Arabidopsis thaliana: one gene and its partner. The protein of the gene in region 1 purifies or fractionates together with the protein of each later gene. This does not show direct contact. Each region holds a gene or a part of one and is shown in the gene's direction. Other genes may lie near its edges. The genes, in order: PRL1 and NRPB2.

The links.
Region 2: the proteins of PRL1 (region 1) and NRPB2 purify together in Arabidopsis thaliana (affinity purification with western blotting; one study listed by BioGRID). This does not show direct contact.

The regions. Positions count from the first base shown.
Region 1 is NC_003075.7:9,016,523-9,033,111, forward strand, and holds PRL1 (pleiotropic regulatory locus 1), read left to right. Parts: upstream 1-7,143; 5' UTR 7,144-7,252; coding exon 7,253-7,386; intron 7,387-7,480; coding exon 7,481-7,505; intron 7,506-7,743; coding exon 7,744-7,849; intron 7,850-7,963; coding exon 7,964-8,057; intron 8,058-8,161; coding exon 8,162-8,227; intron 8,228-8,420; coding exon 8,421-8,505; intron 8,506-8,622; coding exon 8,623-8,715; intron 8,716-8,929; coding exon 8,930-8,993; intron 8,994-9,105; coding exon 9,106-9,191; intron 9,192-9,261; coding exon 9,262-9,363; intron 9,364-9,465; coding exon 9,466-9,549; intron 9,550-9,651; coding exon 9,652-9,712; intron 9,713-9,841; coding exon 9,842-9,908; intron 9,909-10,029; coding exon 10,030-10,107; intron 10,108-10,226; coding exon 10,227-10,291; intron 10,292-10,405; coding exon 10,406-10,483; intron 10,484-10,748; coding exon 10,749-10,921; 3' UTR 10,922-11,286; downstream 11,287-16,589. Other genes in the region: AT4G15885 (kinesin motor protein-like protein), read right to left, coding at 1-111, 169-234, 364-456; AT4G15890 (binding protein), read left to right, coding at 931-2,388, 2,700-3,237, 3,402-3,583, 3,832-4,323, 4,485-4,576, 4,655-4,742, 4,832-4,946, 5,070-5,202 and 2 more; DI21 (drought-induced 21), read left to right, coding at 12,135-12,217, 12,516-12,747; SWEET17 (Nodulin MtN3 family protein), read right to left, coding at 14,220-14,378, 14,931-15,050, 15,806-15,970, 16,329-16,539. UniProt on the Arabidopsis thaliana protein: Pleiotropic regulator of glucose, stress and hormone responses. Also regulates cytochrome P450 CYP90A1/CPD.
Region 2 is NC_003075.7:11,530,570-11,544,059, reverse strand, and holds NRPB2 (DNA-directed RNA polymerase family protein), read left to right. Parts: upstream 1-1,654; 5' UTR 1,655-1,859; coding exon 1,860-2,108; intron 2,109-2,884; coding exon 2,885-3,106; intron 3,107-3,208; coding exon 3,209-3,499; intron 3,500-3,609; coding exon 3,610-3,807; intron 3,808-3,898; coding exon 3,899-3,963; intron 3,964-4,066; coding exon 4,067-4,153; intron 4,154-4,230; coding exon 4,231-4,351; intron 4,352-4,446; coding exon 4,447-4,491; intron 4,492-4,583; coding exon 4,584-4,721; intron 4,722-4,854; coding exon 4,855-4,927; intron 4,928-5,092; coding exon 5,093-5,169; intron 5,170-5,247; coding exon 5,248-5,355; intron 5,356-5,441; coding exon 5,442-5,558; intron 5,559-5,650; coding exon 5,651-5,806; intron 5,807-5,887; coding exon 5,888-5,992; intron 5,993-6,075; coding exon 6,076-6,201; intron 6,202-6,294; coding exon 6,295-6,372; intron 6,373-6,465; coding exon 6,466-6,561; intron 6,562-6,650; coding exon 6,651-6,766; intron 6,767-6,841; and 13 more. Other genes in the region: AT4G21720 (defensin-like protein), read right to left, coding at 30-68, 161-264, 474-527, 1,424-1,499; AT4G21705 (Tetratricopeptide repeat (TPR)-like superfamily protein), read left to right, coding at 9,243-9,476, 9,559-10,803; AT4G21700 (DUF2921 family protein, putative (DUF2921)), read right to left, coding at 11,216-13,490. UniProt on the Arabidopsis thaliana protein: DNA-dependent RNA polymerase catalyzes the transcription of DNA into RNA using the four ribonucleoside triphosphates as substrates. Second largest component of RNA polymerase II which synthesizes mRNA precursors and many functional non-coding RNAs.

The DNA.
Region 1 (16,589 bases):
TTGAAGACTTACAAGACCAGCTGCTTTACGGGACAACACAAAGCTCAGCTGTGTAACATAGTTGTCAATCATGCTCCCTGGCCGATCCACCTTCGCTAGTAATTTCATTTCCTACAAAAAAAAACATGAAATAATGTTAAAACAATCACAAGACATATGAGCCATAACCTCGTGAACTATTTCCATTGTATCCTCGATCTCTTTTCTGTGTGCTGTAATTAAGGTCTCTTCTTCCTGCCAGAGTTTAAACAAAATAATTACCATATTACAGGTTTTCTAAGGTTATTCGTGAGCGATATTCATAAAATTCCCTCACGCTCATAGCATAATTTAGAAGTATAGAAGGGTCAAATGGCTCTTTACCTCAAGCAATGCATCAATGTTTTCATCAAGAGAAGGCTCCGTTGTTTCATACTGCCTTGAAGATGTATCGCTTGTGTTCTGACTGCTAGCCATATTTTGTTGTCTAGAATTTGTCATGGCAGGGACATCAGTCTTGAGAATAAGATGAGTGAATCCTTTGACTAGTGGAGCCGCCAAAAGAAGATTTTAAAATGTTAAGCATAAATCATATTCCTTAAATGTTAAGTGAATCCTTTGACTAGTATAGTATAGTGTCTGGTTTTTCATTAGACTTTCTGAGATGAGAGGTATTTCTATTAAAACTTAAGTTGAAGGTTTTAAAATGAATCAGCCAAAACTGCAGGGTTTGTTTCATTAAAATCCCAAAATTGTTTCGTATACATCATATTACCCACTGAGGACTCTGCTCTTTGTGGAAATGCTAAATTAGCCCCAAACCTTTTTCTAAGTCCCACTTTGAATTCTAATAAGAACGAACAGATCGCGGGAAATCCAAAATGATTTGAAACCTTTTCACCTGAATTTCTGTGAAATCCAAAATTCTCTCTCTATCAGTAGAGAATCGCCATGGATGAAGAGCTTCTGCTCACTAGAATCCTTGCAGGAATCGAAGGAGGAGACGATGAATCTGACTATCATGAACTCGTCACGGATCTCAAATCTCTACTTGATACAGACGATGATGAAATTCTCAATCGATTCTACGGTAGTCTCTCCTCAATGGCTTCTTCGTTTCTCCGCTGTATCTCCGCCGCCATGGATTCTCCGGTTGAATCAGGCCGTCTTGCTATTTTAGCCTCCGACGCTTATCTCAGTCTGCTTCTTTCCACGAATTGCCCCGTTTTCACTTTCTTCTCTCCGATTGCGTTTCTTTCTCTACTTGGCTCAATTCGCCGCTACCTCAAACGCCGTGATGATTCCGCCGGTCAAGGGAGTAATTCGCAGCGAGAGAAAGGGAATAAGAAGAAGAGAGGACGTGGTAAGAGGAATTTAGGGTATGAAGATGGGGAAGAGACTGAAGAAGGTGGATTTGATGCGAAATTGATGTTTATAGTGTTAGAGAAGCTTGGCTCGGTTCTGAGTTTTGTTCATTTAGATAGATTTCCTGATAGTTTGAAATCTTTGGTACAAACTGTGAGTGAGATTCCTTTATTGGCGTTGGAGCACTCTGGAGTTTTGAATTATGATCGATTGATGGAAATGTGTGGGAAGATTCTGGGAGGAGTGTTGAATTCTGACCATGGAGATATGGCACTCACTGCTGCTGAGATTTCAAAGTCTTTGACACCGTTGCTTCTTATGGGGAAACATCAAGCGAGAAGTTTTGCGTTGGGATTTGTGTCAAGGAAATTGATGAGTTTGGCTAAAGATAACCCTGAATTGAAAAAAGTTGTGTCTAATTTGCCTAAGTTTCTGGTTCATAAGGCACCTGAGAAGGCCGAGCCGCGTGGATTTGCAGTGGAGGCGGTACTGGAGATTGTAAAGGCAATGGAGGTTGAGGGCCAATCAGAGTTTGTTGATTTTGTAATGAAGATGTGTCAAGGGAAGTCTAATTTTAGAGTATTAGCTGTTGATATTATACCTCTGTTGATAAGCTCATTAGGAAACCCTCTAGGAGATATTAGTTCAGAGAATGGGTTGAAAGATTCGTGGGGCTTGGGTTGTATTGATGCTTTAGTTCAGCGGTGTTCAGACACGAGCGCTTTGATTAGAGCTCGAGCTTTGTCCAACTTGGCTCAAGTTGTGGAGTTCTTGTCTGGTGATGAAAGGAGTAGGTCGATCCTGAAACAAGCCCTTGGGTTTAACGGTGAGACTTCAGAGGGAAAAGGTGCAGTAACTGACCTTTTGAAGAAAAGATGTGTGGATGAGAAGGCGGCTGTAAGGAGAGCAGCTCTTCTTCTGGTGACAAAATTGACATCGCTTATGGGTGGTTGCTTTGATGGTAGTATCCTAAAGACAATGGGTACATCTTGTTCTGATCCGCTAATAAGTATAAGAAAGGCTGCAGTTTCAGCTATTTCCGAGGTATGTTTTCTGTAACTCAGTTTCTTCTTTCTCATTTACCCGATGGTAATATGTGTAGAGTTAGTATAATTTATACGGGTTTGCTTTGACCTTAATTAGCTCAAAGTTAAAGAGACCAAATGTGCAAGCCAAAAATGTTTTTAGATGAATGAATGGGAAATTACATAGCAACTGCTTCCGTCGGTTTCATACTAAAATCAGATAATCTTTATACTTTAACTTATCCCTGAATATAGGTCAGGCACTCAGGCTAATGACTTGTTATCATATTTCTCTGATGATGCAAGTTCATTGTCTTCTGTTCACTGTAGGCATTCAGAATATGTACAGATGAAATTGTGACCACTGAATGGTTACATTCTGTTCCTCGGATGATCATGGACAATGAAACTAGCATCCAAGAAGAATGCGAGAATGTCTTTCATGAATTAGTTCTGGAGAGAATATTACGAGCTGGAAATGTGCTTTCTCCAGACAGTGCTTCTCTCCCTAACAACCGGAACACTACTTCAAAAGATCTAGACAGAGACATTGAAGCCTTGTTTCCAGAAGGAGTTTTGGTTCTCTTAAGGGAGCTTTGCAACAGTGAGGTTTCTCCTTGGGTTACGAAAATATGTGGAAGTTTGGGAAAGAAGAAGCGACTAAAACCAAGAGTTGCCCTTGCGCTTCAGTGTATCATAAAGGAATCTGAATCACTGTGGTTGAGTCGTTCAATGCCAATAAATAGATGGACAGCTCCTGCTGGTGCTTGGTTCCTTCTATCAGAGGTTTCAGTTTATCTTTCAAAGTCTGTCGAATGGGAATTTCTTCACCATCATTGGCAGTTGCTTGACAAGAATGACGTACAAGGTTTGTCAGAATTCTGTTTATCCATCTATAAACATCTCAATCAACTGATTCATGTCTTTACTTGTTCCTACTGGTAGTGTGATTTTCTGGTTTTAGTCCTAACTTCTACCCTAATTAAACCAATTTTCATGAATGTATGTATGATAATTTGGCTATTTCTGAAGGGCTAGATGAACAAGGTGATGAACAGGGGGTCGAGTGTAATTCTTCTACATGGGCTGGCGATCGAGTTTGTCTTTTGCAAACAATCTCCAATGTTTCCCTTCAGCTGCCAGCAGAGCCTGCTGCAGATCTGGCTGACAATTTGCTGAAGAAAATCGAAAATTTTAACCTGCATTCTGCTGAGGTAATGATAAATATTTAACCTGATATCTTCTATATAAAATCAAGCTCATGTTTTGAAAGTACAGAAAGTTACTGGTTTTTGTCTAGAAGGATGTATTCTTTCAGATTTTGATATTTTTTTGGTACTTTTCTGTAACCTGAAACTTGAACGCTTGAATTGAGCAGATCATTATTCACTGGTTTGAAAATGGTTGCTTCGTATATGGTTCATCTATCTTCATGAACTTAGTCAATGCCATTGAATGACAGGTCGATGCACATGTCAAAGCATTAAAAACTTTGTGCAAAAAGAAGGCAAGCACCTCTGAGGAGGCCGATATGCTTGTCAAGAAGTGGGTAGAACAAGTTTCATTGAAAGCATCTAAGGTCACTGAGAAGTACATCGAGGGGGTTTCCAGTCATAATCATTCTTTTGTTACACCAGCAACACTCGGAAGTAGAAGAAGCAAGAGACTGGATACTGTGTCCAAGAAATTATCAAAAGCAGTCACAGCAGTATACACCATTGGATCTTGTGTCATTATATATCCTTCAGCTGACACGACCAAAATTGTTCCGTTCTTACATACTGTCATCACTTCAGGAAATTCAGACTCAAAGCTGAAAAACAAACTGCCGCAAGCTAATGTTTGCTTGAAGCAAAAAGCTCCTCTTCTCTATAGTCAGTCTTGGTTAACCATGGCGAAGATGTGTTTGGCTGACGGGAAGCTTGCTAAAAGATATCTCCCTCTCTTTGCACAGGTCTGTCTGCATTTGCTGATTCATGTGTCCATTTTATCATTTTGATTATTTCTGGAAAGGAAACTTTTCGTTCCAGGAACTTGATTCATTGGATGGTAGTCTCCTTTGTCTCTTCAATTTTTTTTAACCTATGTGAACCCGTTGATGCCTTACTCTTGCAGGAACTTGAAAAGAGTGATTGTGCAGCCTTGCGTAACAATCTTGTAGTAGCGATGACAGACTTTTGTGTTCACTATACAGCCATGATTGAGTGGTATTTCATTCACAGAACATTAATTTTTCAAATGTTAAACATGATTGCGACATTCTAATGGTTTGTTTACCTGGATAGTTACATACCGAAGATTACTAAACGTCTTCGGGATCCTTGTGAAGTTGTTAGAAGGCAAACCTTCATACTTCTCTCAAGGTTACTACAGGTATTGCTATTCTCCACAGATTCTTTATCTTCTGTTTTTAAAAAGTATTGAATTGACAATGAATAAGCAGGCTTGTTTTCTTGATTCAGAGAGACTACGTGAAATGGAGAGGAGTTCTCTTCCTTCGATTCCTTCTATCGCTAGTGGATGAATCTGAAAAGATACGTCGACTTGCAGACTTTTTATTTGGAAGCATCCTTAAAGGTATGAGAACTCACGTGAGCAACCATGAAATGCATTCTTTCATTCCCATGTTATTGAAAATTCTTACAGAGAGACATGATCTCTAGGATTTTTGATTATTGTTACGCCCCATGTTGCTTATAGTAAAGGCGCCACTTCTAGCTTACAACAGTTTCGTGGAAGCTATTTATGTCTTAAACGACTGCCATGCCCACACTGGCCATAGTAATCCAGATTCTAAACAATCAAGAACAAAGGATCAAGTTTTTTCTATCAGGTACTTGTGTTAAAGTTATATAGTCTATGCTCATACGCAAACTTGACATTTTGGTGTGAATGATCTTAGTGATTATCTTTGTTTCATTTGTTCTGTAGAGGGAATGATGAAAGGGCTAGGTCTAAAAGAATGCAGATCTACGTTACTTTGCTTAAACAAATGGCCCCAGAACACCTTTTGGCCACATTCGCCAAGTTATGTGCAGAGATCCTCGCAGCTGCTTCTGATGGAATGCTCAACATAGAAGATGTCACTGGTCAATCAGTTCTACAGGTAACTTCCAAAATGGCTACAGAGCCTTTTTTCTTCTTGTGATTGCCGATTTTTAACTCGTTTTGTCTCGGTGTAGGATGCGTTTCAGATCTTGGCGTGCAAAGAGATCCGTTTATCAGTTTCCAGAGGAGCATCGTCGGAGACAGCAGATATAGAGGAAGAAGGTGGAGATGCAGCAACTGCAAAAGGAAGGGCCATAACGCACGCTGTTAGAAAAGGTTTGATTCAGAACACGATTCCAATCTTCATTGAGCTCAAGAGGCTATTGGAGAGCAAGAACAGTCCTCTCACAGGTTCGCTCATGGACTGCCTCCGTGTCCTCCTCAAAGACTACAAGAACGAGATCGAAGAAATGCTTGTCGCTGACAAACAGCTTCAGAAAGAGCTTGTTTACGATATGCAGAAGCACGAGGCTGCAAAGGCAAGGTCCATGGCTAACCAAGGGGTTGCCTGCGGGACAAGTCATAGAAACGGTGAACCTGAAGCATCAGCAGCAAGCGAGGAGAATGTTAGAGATTCGGGATTGGAATCAAGAGTGGTTTCTGCGGCTGCTGATGTGGTGGCGGCTAAGGCAGCTAGGTCGGTGTTGAGAGAAGTGAACGGTGGAGCTGCAACGCCGCCTCTGAGCGCAATGAGTGTTCCGAAGCTAAGGTCGAGCCGTGGAGTTAGCCAGAGTGGTCGACCATCAGCTGATGTGTTGGAGTCTCTGAGAAGAAGACCAACTTTCATGTCTGATGATGAGAGTTAGAACTTAAAAATGAGACTGTAGAAAATAGCTTTTGCTGTAAATGCATGACTTCGATTTTTCTTTTTGGGAGATTAGATCGAGACTCTATTAAAGTCTAAATCGTATTTATAAACCGCATAAGACACTAAAACCTGGTGTGTGTGTGTGTGTGCGCGCATTTGTTTGCTTGCTCATGTTTGTCCTTGTGTGATAAATCCATCCCTGCCCTCAAATTGATTTATGTGTTGTATGTGTTGATTTTAGTGATAACATCTCAAAGTGATTAAATATTTTCAAAAATGCTATTTGATGTCTATAACGGCTTTAAAACTTTTGCAAGTTCATTAGAGCTATCTCTAGCACATATATGGCGCTTAGAGATGTTACGAATATGTAAGACTGATTACATATCTCTTTGGCTTAATAAATATAAGTATTTGTGTTGAACTCTTTATCTTCTTCTTGAAGATGTCTTATGGGAAACATGTTAAATGGATAGTAAATGAGAGATTCGAAAATATAGTGTGAGCTTCCTTCTTTGGTTTATGCATTCTCCATGTGGGGGGCAAGGTTTTTGAAGATTTATACTTTTGTGGCAAATCTCTTGTTTGAATACTCCATGGGAGTCTCTCATCAAAACTATGCTGCAAAATATTTGAAAATTTATAAATCTATTGTCTTTGAGAAAGTGTTACAAAATTTATGACCTCAATAATATTGCATGAAAACTTTCATACATCATTTGGTATATGTATGTTTAAGAAAAGGTAAAACCGTAATTATAAAGAGAAAGAAAATACAATATCTTAATACATATCAATCTAATTACTCATTAACCATATTAAGAAAATATGTGTCTTTATTTTTTCCTTTTAACATAAAGCTTAAAAAGAAGATTTGTAGCCAGAAAAATTAATTGTGTTCATTTCCCTTTTAAAAGAATTTTTCGGCGCAACAAAATCGTGAAATTGATATAAATAAACTCGAGATTATTAATATAACCCTTTTTCACTTCACTTCTCTTTCTCTCTAAACCCTAAAAGAAGAACGATGCCGGCTCCGACGACGGAGATCGAACCCATCGAAGCACAGTCACTGAAAAAGCTCAGTCTCAAATCCCTCAAACGATCACTTGAACTCTTCTCTCCCGTCCATGGCCAATTCCCTCCTCCTGACCCGGAAGCGTTAGTCTTCTTCGATCCCCAATTTTCGATTCGAATCTTCATTTTCTTCACTAAGTTTTTATGATTTCTTCGTTTTTTTTTTTTTTTTTTGCAGCAAGCAGATTCGTCTCAGCCATAAGGTAAAACATTGAGTCTCTCTTACCAGTCTTTAGAAATTTATTTCAGTTATTCGCTTTTAATGTCTATTGATTGGATTTTGGTTTAAAGCTTCGAACTTTAGGTTTATTCAGGTTTTTCCATAATTGTTCTAAATCTTCAGGTTTTGTTACCAATAATAGTAAAGATGGTTGATTTACTTAGACTCTCTCTCTCTCTCTGTTGTGTATGTTACTGATTTTAGAAGTTTTCTTTGTACAGATGAAAGTTGCGTTTGGAGGTGTAGAACCTGTTGTGAGTCAACCTCCACGTCAACCTGACCGCATCAATGAGCAGCCAGGACCTTCAAATGCTCTTTCCCTCGCAGGTGTTTTTCATATCACTATGTCTTGGTGAAAGATAAAAACTTGTTTCTTGTTTGCTATTTGCATTCTTATTTGTATTGGAAGGGATAAAATCATCTGCTTGATGAATTCTGCAGCTCCTGAAGGGTCTAAGAGTACGCAAAAGGGTGCGACAGAGAGTGCTATTGTTGTTGGTCCAACTTTACTGCGTCCAATACTGCCTAAAGGCTTGTAAGTGTTATCTTTTGTTGTTGGTTTCGTTGATCTGAATGCTAATTGATGGTTCTACTTTATCGTGAGGATGCTCATAAAAGAATTCGGTTCTCGAATTGAAGGAACTATACAGGTTCCTCAGGGAAGAGCACCACCATTATACCTGCAAATGTATCTTCATATCAAAGGTTTTTTTCTCGTCCTCATACTTGCTTTTCTTTATCTGGATTGCAATACATTAATGGCAGCTCTAGGTAGTGTAGGTAGTTCATGGGCATGCAAATTAGACTTCCCCCAATCTGAATTTTTTTGGTTTGTCCTTATAATGTAGCTTCTAATTCTGATTCCTTTTTTGTTGTTGCGTTCCTTTGCGTGTTACAGAAATCTGTCAACTGCTGCATTAATGGAGAGAATACCAAGTAGATGGCCCCGGCCAGAGTGGCATGCACCATGGAAGAATTACAGGGTAAAATCCGTGGCTCAGCATTGTTGCTGCATCATACGGATTTTGGTCTTTTGTTGGTCTCCAAAAAACTCTGGTTTGAGGAGTTACTTAACTTACGATTAATTATTCTTTTCACAGGTCATTCAGGGGCACTTGGGTTGGGTCAGATCTGTTGCGTTTGACCCGAGTAATGAATGGTTTTGTACTGGTTCAGCTGATCGTACCATCAAGGTAGCAGAGATGATTGCTTATTCAATATGAATTGTATTTTTTCGAATATGTTTTCTTGTTATACTTATAAGTCATGATACAAGACTTCCCTTCTATGGCTAGTTACTGGAGCTTAGTTTAGTGCATTGCCAAAAATCCACTACTTTGGCGATTGTAGAAGCAGTTCCGACTTTGGTATGTTTACTGAATTTATTACTTGTGTTTTATTCACTAGATATGGGATGTAGCAACTGGAGTTCTGAAGCTAACACTTACTGGGCATATCGAGCAAGTACGAGGTTAGCCTTTCAAATCTGTTCTCGTTTATTAATATTTGTTAGACTTTTCAATAAATAACACTCTCGGGACAAGTTACAAGTTTGGGCTCTTTTGTTTTGAATTTTGTTACAGGCCTCGCTGTAAGCAATCGACATACCTATATGTTCTCTGCTGGTGATGACAAGCAAGTCAAATGCTGGGACCTTGAGCAGAATAAGGTTACAACTCTATTCTCTTCATTATCTGGATTTCTCATATCTAATGCTCTTGGAATTTTTGATTTGATAGGTTATCCGATCTTATCATGGTCACTTGAGTGGTGTCTATTGCTTAGCTCTGCACCCAACTTTGGATGTTTTATTAACTGGGGGGCGAGACTCTGTCTGCAGGGTAAGGCAAAAATATTTATATCCATATTTATATATCTTCTCGTTTGAATTCTTGCACTTTGCTGGATTTGTAGTTTAAAAGTCCATGTTTACTTATTTGCAGGTGTGGGATATTCGTACCAAGATGCAAATTTTTGCACTCTCAGGACATGACAACACCGTTTGTTCTGTATTTACTCGTCCAACAGTAAGTCTCTTTTAATATGGACTTGTTGTTATGGTTTTTGGATTTCTTGCTGAATCTTTTTATAATAGTAACTGGAACTCACTTTGATCTGTGTTGTTGCAGGACCCACAAGTTGTCACCGGATCCCATGACACGACCATTAAATTTTGGGACCTTCGATATGGTATATCTTATCATTGTAACCATTGTTTGGACTTAAAATCCATATTATTTAAATCCTTCCTTATTTGATTATCAGTTGCTGCAAATATATGGTTTCATTTGAATAATGCTGTATTATTATTATATGCAGGAAAAACAATGTCAACGCTAACACATCATAAGAAATCTGTCCGAGCAATGACCCTCCATCCTAAAGAGTATGTGTAGTCGTACTGAATCTACTTTTGTGTATCGTGCTGAATCTACTTTATCTTTCCAATAGCGAAGTCTTTGCACCTAAACTTTTCCTTTATGTTATCTCTTTAATTTTCTTTTTAGGAATGCCTTTGCTTCTGCATCAGCTGACAACACCAAGAAATTTAGCCTTCCAAAGGGAGAGTTCTGCCACAACATGCTGTAAGTCTCTGCTAGATAATTATATACTTTGCATCTCCAGTGCTTTTGAAATAGGAGCTGTCATTATTAATTATGTAATTGATGTGTTTGAACAATGTTTATCTTTTTCCATGGAAAAGTTCGCAACAGAAAACCATAATTAATGCAATGGCTGTAAACGAGGATGGTGTGATGGTCACTGGAGGTATATAATCATTTCTGATTCCTTTCGTCCCTGTGATTGTTTTCCTTTGATAGTAAAATGGGTGAGACATAATCATTTTCAACTGAAACTGATTCTATATATGTGTGAATGAAGGTGATAATGGAAGTATATGGTTCTGGGACTGGAAGAGTGGTCACAGTTTCCAACAGTCAGAAACTATCGTACAGCCTGGTACGTACATTTATAGCTTTCATGGTCTTTTGCTCCTGATCTCCTTGTTATGGTAAGATGTAGAAGTCTCGGTATGTTCATACAACGTAGTCAAGTTTGAACCCTGGTAAAGACTCAAATGTTAGAAGTGTATGATACTATGATTGAGCTCTAGGGAAACCAAGAAAGTTGACGTAGGTTTATGGTTTATGTAAATGCCTATAGCGTCGTCTTACAAGCAAATAGTAAATGGGTCTTTAATTGGATGTGGTTGGGCATATGGCAGGTTCCCTGGAGAGTGAAGCGGGTATATATGCAGCGTGTTATGATAATACAGGTTCAAGATTGGTAACATGCGAGGCTGATAAGACGATAAAGATGTGGAAAGAAGATGAGAATGCAACTCCAGAAACTCATCCTATCAATTTCAAACCACCAAAGGAGATTAGGCGCTTCTAAATAACTTGTATCTGTAACTCAAAGCTCTTGTTGGAATCTCACTAATCTCTTCATGATTCTGTTTCCTAGATCAACTTTTGAGAGGGGACCTTTGTTTTGTGGTGGGGAGGAAACAAAAGGCCATGTACTTTATGTATTTTAAGGGCATTTGTAATTTTTTCTATCAACAATAATAGATCATGTATTGTTGTTTATGTTGAGAGAACTTTGTTACTTTTATCTCCCGTCTCTTGATTCTCTTCGTTAGTACTTATCGAAGATCTATCATGATTTCTGTGCAACCAAATCTGTGAAGTTTTGTAGGACGAATCTAAGTATTTGATCAACAACTTATATCTCTAGTCTCCACCACTGAAAGTTTTCAGCCTAAATTTTGGCTCGGGTTGTTTGGTTTATGAAGCTTTTATAGTGTAACTACACAGCTGATACGAAGAAACCAAGTGTAAAAACAAAACAGCTGATACGAAGAAACCAAGTGTAAAAACAAAAGAAAATATTGAAATAGTAAACAATTTGAATGGAAAAGATCCACTAAAAAGAGACGGTGATGGTGAGCTCGTTTGCGCGAAGACACCTGTGTGTTGGTTTTGCAATACGTAAGTGACACGTTCTAGTTATCATCATTCAGATCTCACCGACCTCTTCTGATCTTTTGTACCAAAGTATACTTGTTTATTCGCAGATCTTTTGTAGACTTTTCACCTTTTTAACTGCCAGTATCGTTTAGTGGAAGACGTACATTGGTTTTTACGTCTTCTATTTCTTTCAATTCAATCATCAAACTATCAAAGCATCAAACTATCATAGCTTTCTCACTAGTCACTTGTGGGTTTCTCGAAAACAGGCAAAAACATAAATAAAACCCCCCAAAAAAATGAATTAGCCATTTACTATTTTCACATTTCAGTTTTTAACCTTACTTTGGCAGTAAGTATGAGCAGTGGGTCCACAGTAAGGCCCATGAGCCCAAATTTCTCTGTCGTGGTCTATATAAGTGCGCCTAACCCAAACCCTAAAGTCTCTCGAAAAACCATCACCGGGGAATCTGACGGCGGCTTAGTACCGGCGGCTACTGCAAAAAGGATTGTGTTCTTCTTAGGCTTGATACTTGCCTTGGGAAGAATATAACAATCATTTTGCGGTAGCTAAAACGCTAAGCTCTATCGTCATATCTTTATCATTGATACTTATTTGATATCTAAATATCATAAAAATGGCCGCTCGTTCACTCTCCGGTGCCGTTAAATCTCTTTGCTCCGCCGCATCCGGAAGTCTGTCTTGTTCCATTGTCTTAAGGTACTTATGTTTGAACTGATCCCATTTTTTCAGGTTACAATATATAAACATTTACACACTCTTTCATTTGCTTAGATCGTATAAAGAATTTATAATTCTAATTGAATAATAGTTGATGGTTTGAATTTGAGTGAAGGCTAAAGATTGATCTATCATTAATAAACGTAATTAATTTACTTAGATCTATTAAAGATAATTATGCATGATATTATCACGTTATTTTCTACGTTTTCGTTATGTTATTTAGTCATTTGCTGTTTATATAATCTTACCTTCAAAATAAATTATTGGAATGTAGGAGGAGTTACGTTGCTACATCGCAGAATGTAACAGCAGCAGGATTGAGTAAGGGAGGTTCCACCAGAGTTATGGTGGGGAAGATGGAACAGAGAGGTTTAGATCAAGAGGCAGAGTCTGCTTGGGGACCAGATCCAGTTACTGGATACTACAGACCTTCCAATCGTGCGGCTGAGATTGATCCAGCTGAGCTCAGAGAGTTGCTTTTGAAAAACAAAGCAAAGTCTTTCTGAGAATTTTGATTGGTTGGTTGACTTGGTTCCAGTGGAAGGTTGTCGTAGGCGACTATTCTGATTATGTGTGTTTATGTTTGTCTTGTATCAACTATTAAGTAAAAATAAAGATCACATTAACTAGTTAAAAATATAATATCTGTTTGGATCGACTAACACAACATCTTTAGTATAACAGTGTCTTAAATGTTTTAAGAGATAAATGGGGATATACGAAAAATAGAAAACGTTGCTAATTATGACTAAATTATGATACTTAACAACGTCAACAACAACAAAACAAGATGATTTCACTATGGCATTATATTTTGTGACCACAATCTTATACTTGTTGTTGTTGTCAACATCAAATACAACAATAGAAAATGATGGTGCTTTTTCATACCCCATATAAAATTTTGTTGATTCTTCATGCCCATAGTTTTGTTGAGGCTGCTAATGGCCTAATAGTCTTAGAAAATGCAAACGGACTATTGAGGGTTGAGAATATGCTGTAATTCGGCCCACTTCTGGGCTAGTCGAGTGAATACGTAAGGATCAATCATCAATACTTGGTTGCCACAATAGATTATGAATCAGTGAAACTGTGAAGGGTTCAAGATCTTAGTATATATCATAACTAAATATTATCACTTTGTCCACTAAACTTAAAATGATAACATCGATTCTATGCTATAATGAGATACTGAGATCAACGTTTTGGCTGCTTTTCCTCCTTTGGTCTTAGCTAGTGGTGCTATTTTAAAACTTTTCAGTACTTTTTCGTTTTAGGTTTACTGATGTGTTTGTTATCGGAAGAGTTTTGTCTCTGTTCAATTTTTTCTTAGAAAATATTTTTTTTTGAACATGTATTATTTCTCAACATTTGTCAGTCTAAACGTGTTGTCACTCACATTTCTTCCCCCAACAAATATCAAACATGTTGTCACTCTCGTTTTCATATATGAAATTGAGCATCAACAAGTATTGAGGAGGACATATCCCTGAGCTAGTCATTATGACCATGTTGTTGTGTCTGAAATGAATATCACGATCCGAACGCTAAAGGGAAATGTCAAAGTCCGAGAGACGAGTAAAACTGAAATATGTTTGCTCCACAAATACCGAACCGTACGTACGTCTGTATGACTGTATACGCTCACTTGCAATCGAACGTACACAACGACACAAGACGTTTTTTTACGAATAATATCTCACAAACTCAACCGTCAAGAATCTCAAAACTTATCCAAACAAAAAAGTTACTAAGCCTCAAAACATAGTAAACACTCCATTCTCTTATCTTCGCTTAACAAAAGATGCATTACAATAACAATCCCTAAAATATGTAACATCTTCAAATTAATCTAATTTTGTCCAAAAAAATAACGTACACAAAATCGCACACCACAATAATGTAACAAAAAATATAAAGATTTGTATTTATAAGACCCAAATTAATTAACAAGCTCTTGACATAAAAAAAAAGGGATTTAAGAGAGGAGAGGTTCAACACGTGATGTGAGGCCTTCCTCTTCATCTTGAGCAATCTCACTTAAACCGTTGCTTAAACCAACCGGTTTGGCATTTCTGTAAATTCCATAAAGTATGAGTTGCATTGTCCCAAACACAAACCCCACTCCATTTGGCACCTATCCAATTTCACCACATAACTTTAATTAACTAAATTAATCAATCAATCACAAATACATTATTTCTCAACAACATAATTATAATCAACGCCTATCCGAAATCACAATAAAACGCATTTGAAAATGTCCCCACAAAATAGTAGTTGTTGCATTTTTGAACCAGACACGTTCTTTAAAAAATTAATTGTTTGAAAAAAATGGCCAAAAAAAAAAACATTTTGGTTAATGTTGGAGACTTGGAGTCCACAATTTTTAAAAAATCATTGAGCATTAAATCGATTTTTTCTTTTCCAGAAGATTTTTTATAAACTGTGACATGACCTGACACTAATGGGGTCTAATTGGGGATGTAAAGAAAACAACAAAAATATTTTGGGGGTATTGCTGGAATATCGAAAAAGATATGGGGTCGATGAAATAGCTTTGTTAAGTTTTCCTTTTTGTCTTTTGAATGTGTCTAAAGCCAAAACACTAACGGGACACAGAGACGGCATGAGTATAAGGGTGTAATCATAAATTAAGAAGTGAATAAAACAGTGAAACTATACTTACGAGTAAGAAAACGTCGTGTTGGAGTAAAGCATAGACAGCCCAAATCGCGCCGTTTAAGAAGAGGAAAAACGACAACCAAAACGGCATGTATTTCACGCTCTTTGTTGTCACTACTGTTTTCTGCATATTGTATTAAGAAATTAGACACTATGATCAGTCTATATATTATAACAGATATTGTGATAAACTCAAAACGTATTCTATTTATTTTGTTGCGAATGATTGAAAATGAAATGTTACGTATATATGTCTTTATCCAAGATATGGACCTACCATACCAAGTCGTGGTACAGTATAGTAGCTGGAAAATAAATAAACAATTGGGACGTTGATTTTCATATTTTAGATGTGAAAAAAATCTAATGACGTACAAGTTCATATAATTGATATGTGACTGCGATTTTTTTGAAGACGTGCTTAAAAATGCCATGTGGTTGTTGGTTTATATATGATGATTGCATGTATATATGAACGAAAATAACCTTTATAAAACTAAATGAACAACTACCACCAAAAATAACCACTGACCTTATTTCTGAAAACAGAAAAAAAAATATACTATAAAAACGATATTCGAATTCCACTAAGAAAAAGACAAAAATTGCTGCTTAAAATATAAAGTTAATTAAATTAAAATCAATTTGTTTGTCTACAAAAATTGAATTTTCAGACCAGGTGGGTCGTTTTTTTTTATTATAGACGGCTATAAGCTTTTTGTTTGGAGTATAAAAAAAAATCATTTCTAGAAAGGACCAAGTGGATATGAACAATGACATCTTTTATTGCAAAACGTGTGTGATATGATACTACCAAAACGCTATAAAATAATGTTTTTGAGTTTTGACAGATGAGGTAAAATTAAGAATGAAACTTACCATTGCTGAAAGTGGAGAACCATACATTATAATGTTTAGACCAGCAGATATGAAACCTATTGATTGAGAACGCATCTTCTCATCTTCAAACGCACTTCTCGTTGCCACAATCGCCGCGATTGGAAAAAACACGTTCAACATCGCTTCCACATCCACTGTTTTCAGCTGTAAGAACAAAAAAAAAGATCACATTGTTGTTAACATATATACAAAGCTCAATTATTTGAACCAACAACTACTTTGTAAAATGTAGAAATACATTGGAAACTCTACTTTACAAGTCATCATCGTATTTCTTATAACAAGTGGATCAAATATTTTAATCGACTTGACTTTAGGGAGAACAAAAAAGAATCAATTAAAAGTGAGACATAGAAATCTGATAATCAGATCCAAATCTGAATAAAAATGAATCAAATAAAATGCAGATTTTGTAACCAGCTATCATATAGGAAACACTAAAGATCATGCATAATAGCATATATATAAATCAGAATATCATAAAATAGAATAAATTAAAAACCTTGAGATGTCGAGGGGCATAAAAGAGAAAAAGTGAAACGTAGATGGTTTCAACAAGAGCACCAAAGCCATTAACGGTGGAGACAAGATATTCTCCGGGAGTGACGATGCCGTAATATGTCCATAGCGATGATCCTAACAACGTGCAAATGTACGGCAAGCTTTTGTACTCCTCCGTTGATCTCCGCTTCACTATTTTCCAAAACGTCTCCCTGATGATTTTTGTTTGGTATATTAATATGGACCGATCGATTAATAATCT
Region 2 (13,490 bases), 2.5 Mb from region 1:
ATTATTGAGGTTGAAGCAAGGAAACAAACCTTGTAACCACAGCCTGCTACACATGCGTGAAAGCATTCCTGAATTTAAAAACAGAGTTACATGTACAACAATTAGATACGGTTCAGTCCATTTCTCTTTTTTGAAGAAAAAGATTCATTGTGTGAATTACCTCAGAGTATTTGGCATCTCCAGGAGAACGATCTATAACAGCAGTCCATGGTCTGTCTTTTAGCACAGGATCTTTGTAGCAAATTTCACTGCAGTCTCCTACACCTATAGAGAGTACACTACTATTACACCAATTCATTAACTTGGAAACTTAAACCTGAAAAGCAGAAGATACTCTTCATGAACATGTAATTTCGTTATGTAGGAGACAAGCTTGGTTTTTATGATGTTCCATAGTGAGGACAAATCTAACCGCTCATCATTTCATCAACAGTTTCGTTACAGATTACAAAGAATTAAAAAGAAATGCTTACAATCTTCCCATGAGTCACTATCGGCATCACATCCCTTTTTGCAGAATACTCTCCCTACACAGATTCAGGAATTACATTAGTGCTATGGAAAAAATGTCATACAACAACATGGAGGATAAACACTGATGCTAAAGCTGAAAAAAAACCCAGATTGCTATGGAAAAAATGTCATACCAAGCATAAGTTCAGCTAGCTTTTGTGCCCATGAATGAAATTCAGAGATCAGAGAATGAAAAGCTTTCATCAGAAAGACAGAAACAGCCAAACCAAGCCCTTTAACTAGCTTAAGCATACATATATGTCAATAGTTCATAGAAGCAACATGGATACAGAAGCATCTTTGATACCGTTACTTTGACTCTCTCCCTTTAAATTTCTTTCAGTTCATAAACTACAACTTATTATCTTCCACTTTCTCCTACTAATTTAACCATTTTCTTAATTACATGATAGAAAAGCTCTAAGAACTCTGCATAATCTCCCTTACTTGTAATCAATATAAATGTTGCCGATTCTTCAATCTACATTATTCAATTACGAGTCAAGATGGATGTTCTTAAATACTTGCAACTACAACTATAAGTTGTCTCTGGACCAATCTAACCAAAGAAGCGATTCTTGACCAAAATGTTTAGTATAATCGTAATGAAGTAGAGTGCACCAACAAATAATTAGGGTTTATGAATCAAGAAATCAATCAACAATCCAATTTACAGATCCCAATTTCAATTCCAAACAACAACAAAAAGAAGAAACACTCGGAAGACTAAATTGACTTTTGAATCAAGAAATCAATCACCAATCCAAATCAGAACCCAATCTATCAGCTCCAACAACAGATTCTTATCATCATCATCGAAAACTAAACCATCAAAAAACAACGGACCACGAACATCAAAACTCAAAAACGAATCCGATTCACACAAATTAAGAGTCCAGATATTACATACATGGAAGCTGCGTAAATGCTGAGTACTTATTCGTGCATTTGCTCCCACACGGCGGCGTCCATTGCTGCGGTATCATCTCTCTCTCCCTTCCTCCGCCTTCACTCTCCGTCTCTCTCTCTCTTCTTCCGAAAATATCGCTGACGCCACAAAAATGTAGCCGGAGACTTTTCTTTATATAGTAAGGGTGTTTCCGTCATTTAACAATCCAAGCTCTCTAACAACCAAACCGATCCTTTTTATAATCCCATTTAATCAAACCGGTTATTGATACAAACCGGTTATTTCCATAAACTTAAGCCGACTTCTCTCTCTCGAGCCTTTATAAACTCACAATCTCACAAAGCCGTCTCATTCTCTGCGTCCTGTCTCTCTCTTTGTCTCCGAGAGCTCGAGTAGTGAAGTTTGCTGTGCTCTAATCTTCAGAGAGTGAGAATAAATGGAGTACAACGAATACGAACCTGAACCTCAATATGTAGAAGACGATGACGATGAGGAGATTACCCAGGAGGACGCGTGGGCTGTTATATCTGCTTATTTCGAAGAGAAAGGTCTCGTTCGTCAACAGCTGGATTCGTTTGATGAGTTTATTCAAAATACTATGCAAGAAATCGTTGATGAGTCTGCTGATATCGAGATCCGACCTGAATCTCAGCATAATCCTGGCCATCAGTCCGATTTTGCGGAGGTTGTTTCCTCGTTTTTGTTTTTTTCTAGGGTTTCTATGGGAATTCGAAATTATGTGCGGGTTTATCGTGTTTGTGGCGGTTTTAAAGTGTTTCGATTTGAGCTTCTACCGTTTGGGTGCGATTAGGGTTTACCTGAATCTTATTGATGTCCCGAGATTGTCTTGTTATTCAATGCTTGAGCTATATGCTGTTCAAGAGTCAAAAAATGATTTTGACTATTGATGTCCGGATATTGACTTTGAGCTGGTAATCTTATTAATGTCCCGAGATTATCTTTGAGTTAATGCTTGAGCTCATCTCTTTCGAGGAGGATTTATAGTATTGGTTGAAACTCAAATCAGTTTTGGCACTATAAAAATGAGTTTGGTATCTTTTTTTGCTGTCCCTTTGGTCTGTTTTCCTGCAGACAGTCTATTGTTAGCCCTTATCTGAGAAGCTTATCTCAATGATTTCCCATGATTATCTTTGTATTCGATGCTTGAGCTCTTCGCTTTTTTGAGGTGTATTTTCAGTGGTTTTGAATATTGGTTAAAGCTTAAATCAGTTTTTAAGTTTTGTTGCAATTAGGGTCTGCCTTTGTCGAGTAGCTAAGCTCATTGATTTTCCGAGATTATCTTTCCATTTAATGCTTGAGCTCTTCGCTTTTTTCAAAGTGTCCTTTCAGTGGTCTTTATTATCGGTTGAAGCTCAAATCATTTTTGACTTTGTGTGAGCTGAGATATAGCTGTTTTGCTATCTGTTTTTCTGTATGTCTGATATAGCTGTTTTCCTGCAGACAATCTACAAGATTAGCTTTGGACAGATTTATCTGAGTAAACCTATGATGACAGAGTCTGATGGAGAGACTGCCACCCTGTTCCCTAAGGCTGCAAGGTTGAGAAATCTCACATACTCTGCGCCTTTGTATGTCGATGTTACTAAGAGAGTTATTAAGAAAGGGCATGATGGTGAAGAAGTTACGGAGACACAGGATTTTACTAAAGTTTTCATTGGAAAGGTGTCCGAACTCAGTTCATTGTGTCACATTTATTTAGGTGTTTCCATGTACTCTACTGTTCTGATAGTAGAAATGTTTTCTTCTTGTTTGATTATTTGCTAGGTTCCCATCATGCTCCGGTCTAGTTACTGTACCTTGTTTCAGAACTCGGAGAAAGACCTGACAGAGCTTGGAGAATGTCCTTATGATCAGGGTGGATACTTCATTATTAATGGCAGTGAAAAGGTTCTGATTGCTCAGGAGAAGATGAGTACGAATCATGTTTATGTGTTCAAGAAAAGGCAGCCAAATAAGTATGCTTATGTTGGTGAAGTCCGTTCTATGGCTGAAAACCAAAATAGGCCTCCAAGCACAATGTTTGTGCGTATGCTTGCTCGTGCTAGTGCAAAAGGGGTAAGAGAAAGCTAATTAGTCTTAACTCTACTATATCCTTCCTCGAAATTTATTCTTTAAATTCTAGATAATGGTAAATAAATTACATTCTATGTTGCAAATGGATGCAGGGTTCATCTGGACAGTATATTCGATGTACTCTTCCATACATCAGAACAGAAATTCCTATTATCATAGTATTTCGTGCACTGGGATTTGTTGCCGATAAGGACATATTGGAACACATCTGCTATGATTTTGCCGATACCCAGATGATGGAGTTGCTCAGGCCTTCCTTGGAAGAAGCTTTCGTTATTCAAAATCAGCTGGTATCCACTTTTTTTTCACTTGGTTAATGACATTTTATTATGCTTGAGGAATTGATCTTGCAATCACTTGATAACTTTCATATTACTTCAGGTTGCACTTGACTATATTGGAAAACGTGGTGCAACTGTTGGTGTAACCAAGGAAAAAAGGATAAAGTATGTGATAATCTAAACCAATTAAGTTGGACATTATGATCTAAGATGTCAACTATTGAGATGTTCACACTGGAGGTTTGCGATTGCAATATTATCATTGCAGGTATGCTAGAGATATCCTTCAGAAAGAAATGCTTCCTCATGTAGGAATTGGGGAGCATTGCGAGACAAAGAAAGCTTACTATTTTGGGTAGGTATTTAACTCACTTGTAATGTTTATAGACTTAACATGTTTCTGTGTTGCTCATATTATGCTATGATCCGTAGGTATATCATACACCGGCTGCTGCTTTGTGCACTTGGCCGAAGGCCAGAAGATGATAGGGATCATTATGGTAACAAAAGGCTGGATCTTGCTGGTCCTTTACTTGGAGGGCTATTTAGAATGGTTTGTTCCCGGCACACAATTATACACTCTTGGGGATTGTTGAGTATCAGTGTTTTTTTTATCTCTTACTGACCTAACATCTTCTCTACATGCAGCTTTTCCGAAAGTTAACAAGGGATGTGAGATCTTATGTTCAAAAGGTATCTTACATAGTTACTCTTTCTCGAGCCAAAGACTTTAGTATTAAGTTGTTATTCTGTGTTTGGAAGTCTGATTCATGTTTCTTTGACAGTGCGTTGACAATGGCAAAGAAGTCAATCTTCAATTTGCCATTAAGGCTAAAACAATTACCTCTGGCCTGAAATATTCTCTTGCTACTGGGAACTGGGGCCAGGCAAACGCTGCTGGCACAAGAGCTGGAGTCTCTCAGGTTAGGATAATTCTATGTTAATTATGTTTTTGAGTTCCAATAATTTCTTGATGTATGTTATCGGGTTTACTGTTTTGGCCTATTATAATTCATTGCATGATTTATATGGCTCTAAAGACTTAACTAACAACAGGTTCTTAACCGGTTGACATATGCTTCGACTTTGTCACATCTGAGGCGTCTCAATTCTCCAATAGGACGTGAAGGTAAAGCCTCGTTCTTTTCCTGCACTTCTATTTTGTCTCTGTGTAACTGTTCGTACAGTTGGTGTATTTTAGTCATGGTTCTCTTTATTATCCACATCCTTGCAATTTAGATTGGCTTGTACTTTTGTTTATCCCACTTGAATCTAATCAAGTCTGATATGCCAGGAAAATTGGCAAAACCAAGACAACTGCACAACTCACAGTGGGGAATGATGTGCCCTGCTGAAACACCTGAAGGACAGGTAAAATTGTTATATTTATAAAATAAGGGTGTTTCGGATTTTATAGTTCCATTGCTCATTGTGGCTTTGCTGTACCAGGCTTGTGGTCTAGTGAAAAACTTGGCTCTCATGGTCTACATAACAGTTGGGTCAGCTGCTTATCCTATATTGGAATTTTTGGAAGAATGGGGTACTGAGAATTTTGAGGTCTGTAGCATTTCACATTCAATTTCTTACCCAACATCTGCCTCCTTGGTTCTTGTGGTTTCCTGAAGGTCTTAACTTGAATATAGGAAATATCTCCATCTGTTATACCCCAAGCCACAAAAATCTTTGTCAATGGAATGTGGGTTGGAGTTCATAGAGATCCTGACATGTTGGTGAAAACGTTGAGACGTTTGAGACGAAGGGTAAGCATGCAGTTTCTTTCACGTTTCCATATATGCTAGTGAAAATATTGCAACTTTATGCAGAAGTGACATATTACTTTTTCCTCTTGCAGGTTGATGTCAACACTGAAGTTGGTGTAGTTAGAGATATCCGTCTTAAAGAGCTCCGGATATACACTGATTATGGACGTTGTAGCCGTCCGTTGTTTATTGTAGATAATCAGAAGCTCTTAATAAAGAAGAGAGATATCTATGCTCTGCAACAAAGGGTAAAATTCTAATTTTTACCTGTTATCAAAGTATCTTTTGTTATAAATTCCATTGTACCAATATTTGTTTTCATAACCCAGGAAAGTGCAGAAGAAGATGGTTGGCATCATCTGGTTGCTAAGGGCTTTATAGAATACATAGACACAGAAGAAGAGGAAACGACCATGATTTCCATGACTATCAGTGTGAGTAATGAAATGAAGATGTGATTAAATGAGTTTGTGGTGCACTAATTTCTGCAGAAATCTTACTCTTATGTTTGTTGTAGGATCTGGTTCAAGCTAGACTCCGCCCAGAAGAGGCTTATACTGAAAACTACACACATTGTGAGATTCACCCATCTCTGATATTGGGGGTCTGTGCTTCAATCATACCATTTCCTGACCATAATCAGGTACCTCTGTCTAAATGACTTTTCTATCAGAAGCGATTTCATTATGTAAATTCAGTTTCATGCTAACTAACCCTTTACTTTTTGATGTATTAGTCACCTCGTAATACATATCAATCTGCCATGGGGAAGCAAGCAATGGGAATTTATGTCACCAACTACCAATTTCGCATGGTATGTTCTAGGCTCTTAATTTGTGGTCTTTCTTGTCAGCTCTTGTTACATCACTCAATATTTTAAAGAAATTATTATTGTTCTGTCAACCAGGATACGTTAGCTTATGTTCTCTATTATCCACAAAAGCCTTTGGTTACTACAAGAGCTATGGAGCATCTTCACTTTAGACAACTTCCAGCAGGAATTGTAAGTTATTTTTGCTAGAAGTTTTTCAGAATTCAGCATTGCTCGTGTATCAAATCTCTCAAATGTTTTTTTTTCTTCTTCTTGTGCAGAATGCTATTGTTGCCATTTCTTGCTATTCTGGATATAATCAAGAAGATTCTGTCATCATGAATCAGTCTTCAATAGATCGTGGTTTCTTTCGATCCTTGTTCTTTCGGTCTTACAGGTGAGTATGCTATACTTTTGGACGTTTGCCTTCGGTCTTTCCATTTATTTATACTGCAATCACGTTTGCTGACAGAGATGAGGAGAAAAAAATGGGGACGCTTGTCAAAGAAGACTTTGGGCGCCCAGACAGAGGAAGTACAATGGTAAGAAAGTAATTGACACATGGTTCATACTTCAGTGGTGCTTTTTGTAAGTGAAGTTTAACACTTGGGTTTCTGCTGCAGGGTATGCGACATGGTTCTTATGATAAACTGGATGATGATGGTCTTGCGCCTCCTGTAAGTTTATAATTTATTGTTCCTTAATTATTTATTATCTGATATGATTAGGTGACTAATGTTAGAAAGCATATCATACAATCTTTTATTTTTGGTATAGGGTACTAGAGTTTCAGGTGAAGATGTTATCATTGGGAAAACCACTCCAATATCTCAAGATGAGGCTCAAGGACAATCATCCCGATACACTAGACGTGATCATAGTATAAGCTTGCGACATAGTGAAACTGGAATGGTGGATCAGGTAACTTTGGCTTTTCCTTGCAGTTAAGGGTTTAGAAAGTTTCAGGATTGAAATATGAAACTGATCAATTCTTGTAACTTCGTGTAGGTGTTATTGACTACAAATGCAGATGGTTTGAGGTTTGTGAAAGTGAGGGTCAGATCCGTGCGGATTCCTCAAATTGGAGACAAATTTAGTAGTAGACACGGTCAGAAGGGAACTGTTGGCATGACCTACACGCAGGAGGATATGCCATGGACGATTGAAGGGGTCACTCCGGACATTATTGTGAATCCACATGCTATTCCGTCTCGAATGACAATTGGACAGCTAATTGAGTGCATCATGGGAAAAGTGGCAGCTCACATGGGAAAAGAAGGAGATGCTACTCCCTTTACAGATGTCACGGTAACTTGCATTTTCCTTAGCTGCTTAGTTAGCATTGGGCTTGGTATTATTAGTTTTGACCAATGTTGTGTCGTTAGGTGGATAATATAAGCAAAGCCCTTCATAAGTGTGGGTACCAAATGCGTGGATTTGAGAGAATGTACAATGGTCACACGGGCAGACCACTCACAGCTATGATATTCCTTGGACCAACATATTACCAAAGATTGAAGCATATGGTTGATGACAAGATTCACTCGCGTGGACGAGGTCCGGTGCAAATCTTAACAAGACAACCAGCTGAAGGGCGATCACGTGATGGTGGTCTCCGTTTTGGAGAAATGGAGCGCGATTGCATGATTGCACATGGTGCTGCTCACTTTTTGAAAGAGAGGCTGTTTGATCAGAGTGATGCGTATAGGGTACATGTGTGTGAAGTCTGCGGGCTCATTGCCATTGCAAATCTGAAGAAGAATTCTTTTGAATGCAGAGGTTGCAAGAACAAAACAGATATTGTTCAGGTAAACATAAACTGTTGTGCAAGTGGTTCATATTCATCTTTATCTCTTTCATGCTCATTTGTCTGATGTCATTTCATCTAAATATTCTCAGGTATACATTCCATATGCTTGCAAATTACTCTTTCAAGAGCTTATGTCAATGGCTATTGCACCAAGGATGCTCACTAAACACCTGAAATCGGCTAAAGGCAGACAGTGAGGAGCTTGCAATCTGATTTTGTAGAAACTTGAACTTTCCTTCTCTCTTGGTCATAGCTTTGTAACAATACTAAATTTACAAATTTGTGTAATATTTCTGTACTAATTCTTAAAGCTAGAAAGGTACCTTATAAGATATATTTATGGATTCTTTAGTAAATTTGCTGCTCCTAATTATTCTCATGGGGCATCCGTATGGGGATTCACTTTGTTTCCTTCTGCTTTCATCATCATTGTGCCTTATCGATGAGCTCAACATTGCGAAATCCATTCAATAGCTGTTTCAAACATTAATGATATCTTTTCTATGGTTTTCTCTATTCCTTCAATATTAGTAGCTGCAGCATATGCACTGAGACGAATACTAAGAGTAAATTGGTCAAAAGAGACTCCATTCTTCTCCATTTCAAGCATCAGATCATCTAATTTTCCATGCACATTCATCTGATTATACATATTCATCATACGATTGTAACAACGTGTGTCCATGGAAACACACGCTTCCTTCATGGCTTCCACAAGCTTCTCAGCTTACGATATTAGCAGCTAAGAAGACTAGAAAAGACCGCAATAATCTTTGGGAATGTTATCAAAGAAAACCTCTGCTTCTCCAAGTCCACAGACTCTTGATATCAAGTTTATGCGTGTACCAAAAGCTTGATAAAACATAGTTTTTTTTTTTTTTTTTCCTCAAAACATAGCTTTTATTTGAGAGTTAAAATGTTCAATAGAAAGATTCAGGTGTAAATTAGATAATAATAAAAGTTTTGAGGCTTAATATGCAATTATCATAAACTTTCAACCTTTATTTGTATTTTTTCATTTTTGTAAAGTCTCAATCTTTGACTATCTTCTTCGCCGGAACCGATGAATATACTGAGACGAATTCCGGCGAATTTGATTGCGAGCAGATATTACTACACTAACAGAGTAAAAAAGACGACACTTTACTCAAAAATCAGTCCTTTAGGAGACCCAAAATCAAGTGTTTACCCAGAACTCCAAAACTGGGTTCAATGCGGTAAAAAAGTCTCTGTTGCTGAACTTATTCGCATCGTTCACGATCTTCGTAGACGCAAACGCTTCCTCCACGCTCTCGAGGTAAGTAATTCTATACAAATCAAGTCTCTTTCCCTCTTTACACCGAGAAAAAAAACTAAACTTTAGAATTTTTCAAATTCAGGTTTCGAAATGGATGAATGAGACTGGTGTATGTGTGTTCTCTCCGACAGAACACGCGGTTCATCTTGATCTTATTGGTAGAGTTTATGGATTTGTCACTGCAGAAGAGTATTTTGAGAATCTTAAGGAACAGTATAAGAATGATAAGACTTATGGAGCTCTTTTGAATTGTTACGTTAGGCAACAGAATGTTGAGAAGTCTCTGTTGCATTTTGAGAAGATGAAGGAGATGGGTTTTGTTACTTCGTCTCTTACTTACAATAACATTATGTGTCTTTACACGAATATTGGTCAGCACGAGAAAGTTCCTAAGGTTTTGGAGGAGATGAAGGAAGAGAATGTTGCTCCGGATAACTATAGTTATAGGATATGTATTAATGCTTTTGGTGCTATGTATGATCTTGAGAGGATTGGTGGGACCTTGAGAGATATGGAGAGACGACAGGATATTACTATGGATTGGAACACTTATGCGGTTGCGGCTAAGTTTTATATTGATGGTGGTGATTGTGATAGAGCGGTTGAGCTTTTGAAGATGTCGGAGAATAGATTGGAGAAGAAAGATGGTGAAGGTTACAATCATCTCATTACGCTTTATGCTAGGTTAGGGAAGAAGATAGAGGTTTTAAGGTTATGGGATTTGGAGAAAGATGTGTGTAAAAGGAGAATAAATCAGGACTATCTTACTGTGTTGCAGTCGCTTGTGAAGATTGATGCTTTAGTTGAGGCTGAGGAAGTACTTACGGAATGGAAATCATCGGGGAACTGTTATGATTTTCGAGTGCCTAACACTGTGATTCGTGGTTACATTGGAAAAAGTATGGAGGAGAAGGCAGAAGCGATGCTTGAAGATTTAGCAAGAAGAGGGAAAGCTACTACACCAGAATCTTGGGAACTTGTGGCTACTGCTTATGCGGAAAAGGGTACTTTAGAAAATGCTTTCAAGTGTATGAAAACTGCCTTAGGTGTAGAAGTGGGTAGCAGAAAATGGAGACCTGGATTGACGCTGGTTACAAGTGTTTTGAGTTGGGTCGGGGATGAAGGAAGTTTGAAAGAAGTAGAAAGCTTTGTTGCATCTCTTAGGAATTGTATCGGTGTGAACAAACAGATGTATCATGCTCTTGTCAAGGCTGATATAAGAGAAGGCGGACGTAACATTGATACTCTGTTGCAGCGTATGAAAGATGACAAAATTGAAATCGATGAAGAAACCACAGTGATTCTCAGCACAAGAAGTCCATGCTAAAAGTTTCTTATTCTTCCTTGACGTGATGATACCAAAGATGTCTTCTGAGACAAGGATTTAGGAATGTGATTTCTTAACGGTTGAGTCTTCCTTCAGCAATACTTATTAGTACCAAATGTACCAAAATTTTATTTTGTTAAGAACACTCTCTAGACTCTGTTTTCATAGCATCTATAGAACAGTCTACAAGAGAATCCTCTGTTCTTTTTTCAAATGCAGTGTACTATCATATTGAATCAGCAGAAGGCAAAGTTAGAGCTTTGGCAATTTGGTTCCATTTTTATTGAAGTTTATATTCACTCTATAACAATTTGCTTTCCCACAAAACTGTAGATATTACACAACCTAAAACAGTTAAGAACAAGATAAATGAATTGTATGACAACAAAACTGTGTGTCTATATATGTATTGTCAAGAGTCATTGGTATTGTGTTGCTCACCAGCTTGTTGAAGCTCTACAACTTTCTCATATCCCACATATTCTCTGAATCTCTTTGGAATGAAACAACGACCACCGAATCTCTGCTGCAAGAAAATCAGAAACGCAAAGAGGAAACCGATGCAGAGGATAATAATATCCCATGCCGTAGAGTAATAATCCATTTTGTGGTTTGCATAAATGAATGACCAATCAAGAATCTTCCCGTAGCTGTGACTTCTATACAGATCATAAGCATGAGGAAGCAATCGAACAAAGCTGTTTCCAACGTAAAACAAAGCAGCAAGAGGCTTCAAGTCCGAGTTGCTGAAACCGTTGAAGAGTATTTGAGGAAGGAGGAATGCGTCAAGCATCAAACCTCCATAAGATTTTAGATCTTTCCACAAAGGAGGACGTTGAAATGAGCGTTTCAGGTTCACTGGACGGTATAAGAGATTCCGAGCTTGCGGTTTTCCTATGTATACTATTCTTTTAGGAGTTCTATTACGGTTCACTAACCAAGCAATCAATCCACCGGTGATGTAGAGAGGTAAACACACATAAGAAACCTTCTTCTCTGCTTTCCACACATCTTCACGGTGATGATGGTCTCCGGTTTTTCTAGCAGTCCAAGCTAGTTGGAGAAGACGGCACTCGAGTAAGAAAGCTATCAGTGTCACTATCCGCACCACAATTTCCTTGGCTTCGAGCCATCTGTCGTTCTCAAAGAACAAGTTTCGCTGGTTATGGCTGCCTTTAAAGAGTTCTTCAAAGTTTAACAGCAGAGGAATCATGTGACCTAATGTAATAAGTATCAGCATTGCAACGGAGATGAAAGGAAGTGCTTCCTGGTGTTGCTTCATATGGTAGAGTTGCATACCCAAGAAGAGACATGAAAGTGTATTGGAAACTAAAACCATAGCAACCTCCAAATCCATTCTCCAAACAGATTCTTTCGCTTGATGAACATAGATGGACCTCGACAAAACCTCCATACGTCCAACATAAAGCGGATCTGTCTTTTCCCGTGTGCTTTTGATGGTTCCCTTTAAACGGTCATCGCTTCTCGAATCAATTGGAGAAAAGTTAATCTTGATTGCAAGACTGCAATCCACAGTCTCGTTTTGTATAGCCACTGTGTTTTTTAGCCTAACTGATTGACATCCTACCATGCATAGCTCACCTGTATCCCTATCATATGTTCCCTCAGCGTAGATATCTCCACGAGATTCGGAATTTGGATTCAAAGAACGGATTCTATAAGTGATATTTGTAAAGCTTTTAGTGACACTGTTGACATTCATAGGGATTCCAGTTAGCCCAACCCCTTGCCCACGAACCAAAAGATCCCGATACAAACGGTCTCCCACAAAGTAAGGACTTGCACGGGCAGTTCTCAAGACATTACCTTCTCCAGAATATTTGACTGACATGACAAATCTCATGTCTGAAGTTTGAGCATCAGGGTAATGGTTTCCTTTCCTTTTGGGGCGACTCTTGCCAGCCCCGCATAACTTACCCACTCTCTCGCTTTCTGTATACTCATATCTCAGACTCGGGAAACGCCACAGTTGATCGTTTAGGCTCGAGAACTCAATTCTTCTGAAATAGCTTGGATCACTCTCTGCTTGGGCACTCCAAAGCTCCCCAACTACTGGAGCCATGCTTTTAATCGACAAGATAGCAGGAAATCTCAAACTTAACCTCAGGGAACAATCATCAACCACAGCATTACTCAAAGAATCCGAGAAATTCAAGATCCTGCACGCAACACCACAGAACCTATTCCTCTCTACATCCCAACTTCCCTCTGCAACCAAACTGGTTCTCGGATCAAATGGAAACAAACTACTATAACCGCTCATGTTACTAAATGACAAAAGCATTCGCATCTTCTCCCCATCACACAGAAACGATAACATCGACATAAAACCCGGTGTGTACTCTACATCACTTCCAAAAGGACTACAACTATGGTCAACCCCACAATCATTTCTATACATCAAACCAAACACATGACTTCTACCTTCAAATACTTTACACATTCCTCCCAAAACATTCTCTAACGACAAACTCTCTCCACCATTTACCCCACAATCCAACTTCGATTGCTCTAACAACTTATACTCATAGTTCAAAGGAGTGTTTCTTGCACCAAGAATCAAAACCGTTTTAAATTCACTTAGGCTATCCACGCTCTCTAACACTCCCTTAACCAAACTTCCATAGATATTAGACTCCTTGGAATAGTTAAGCATAAGACGAGCA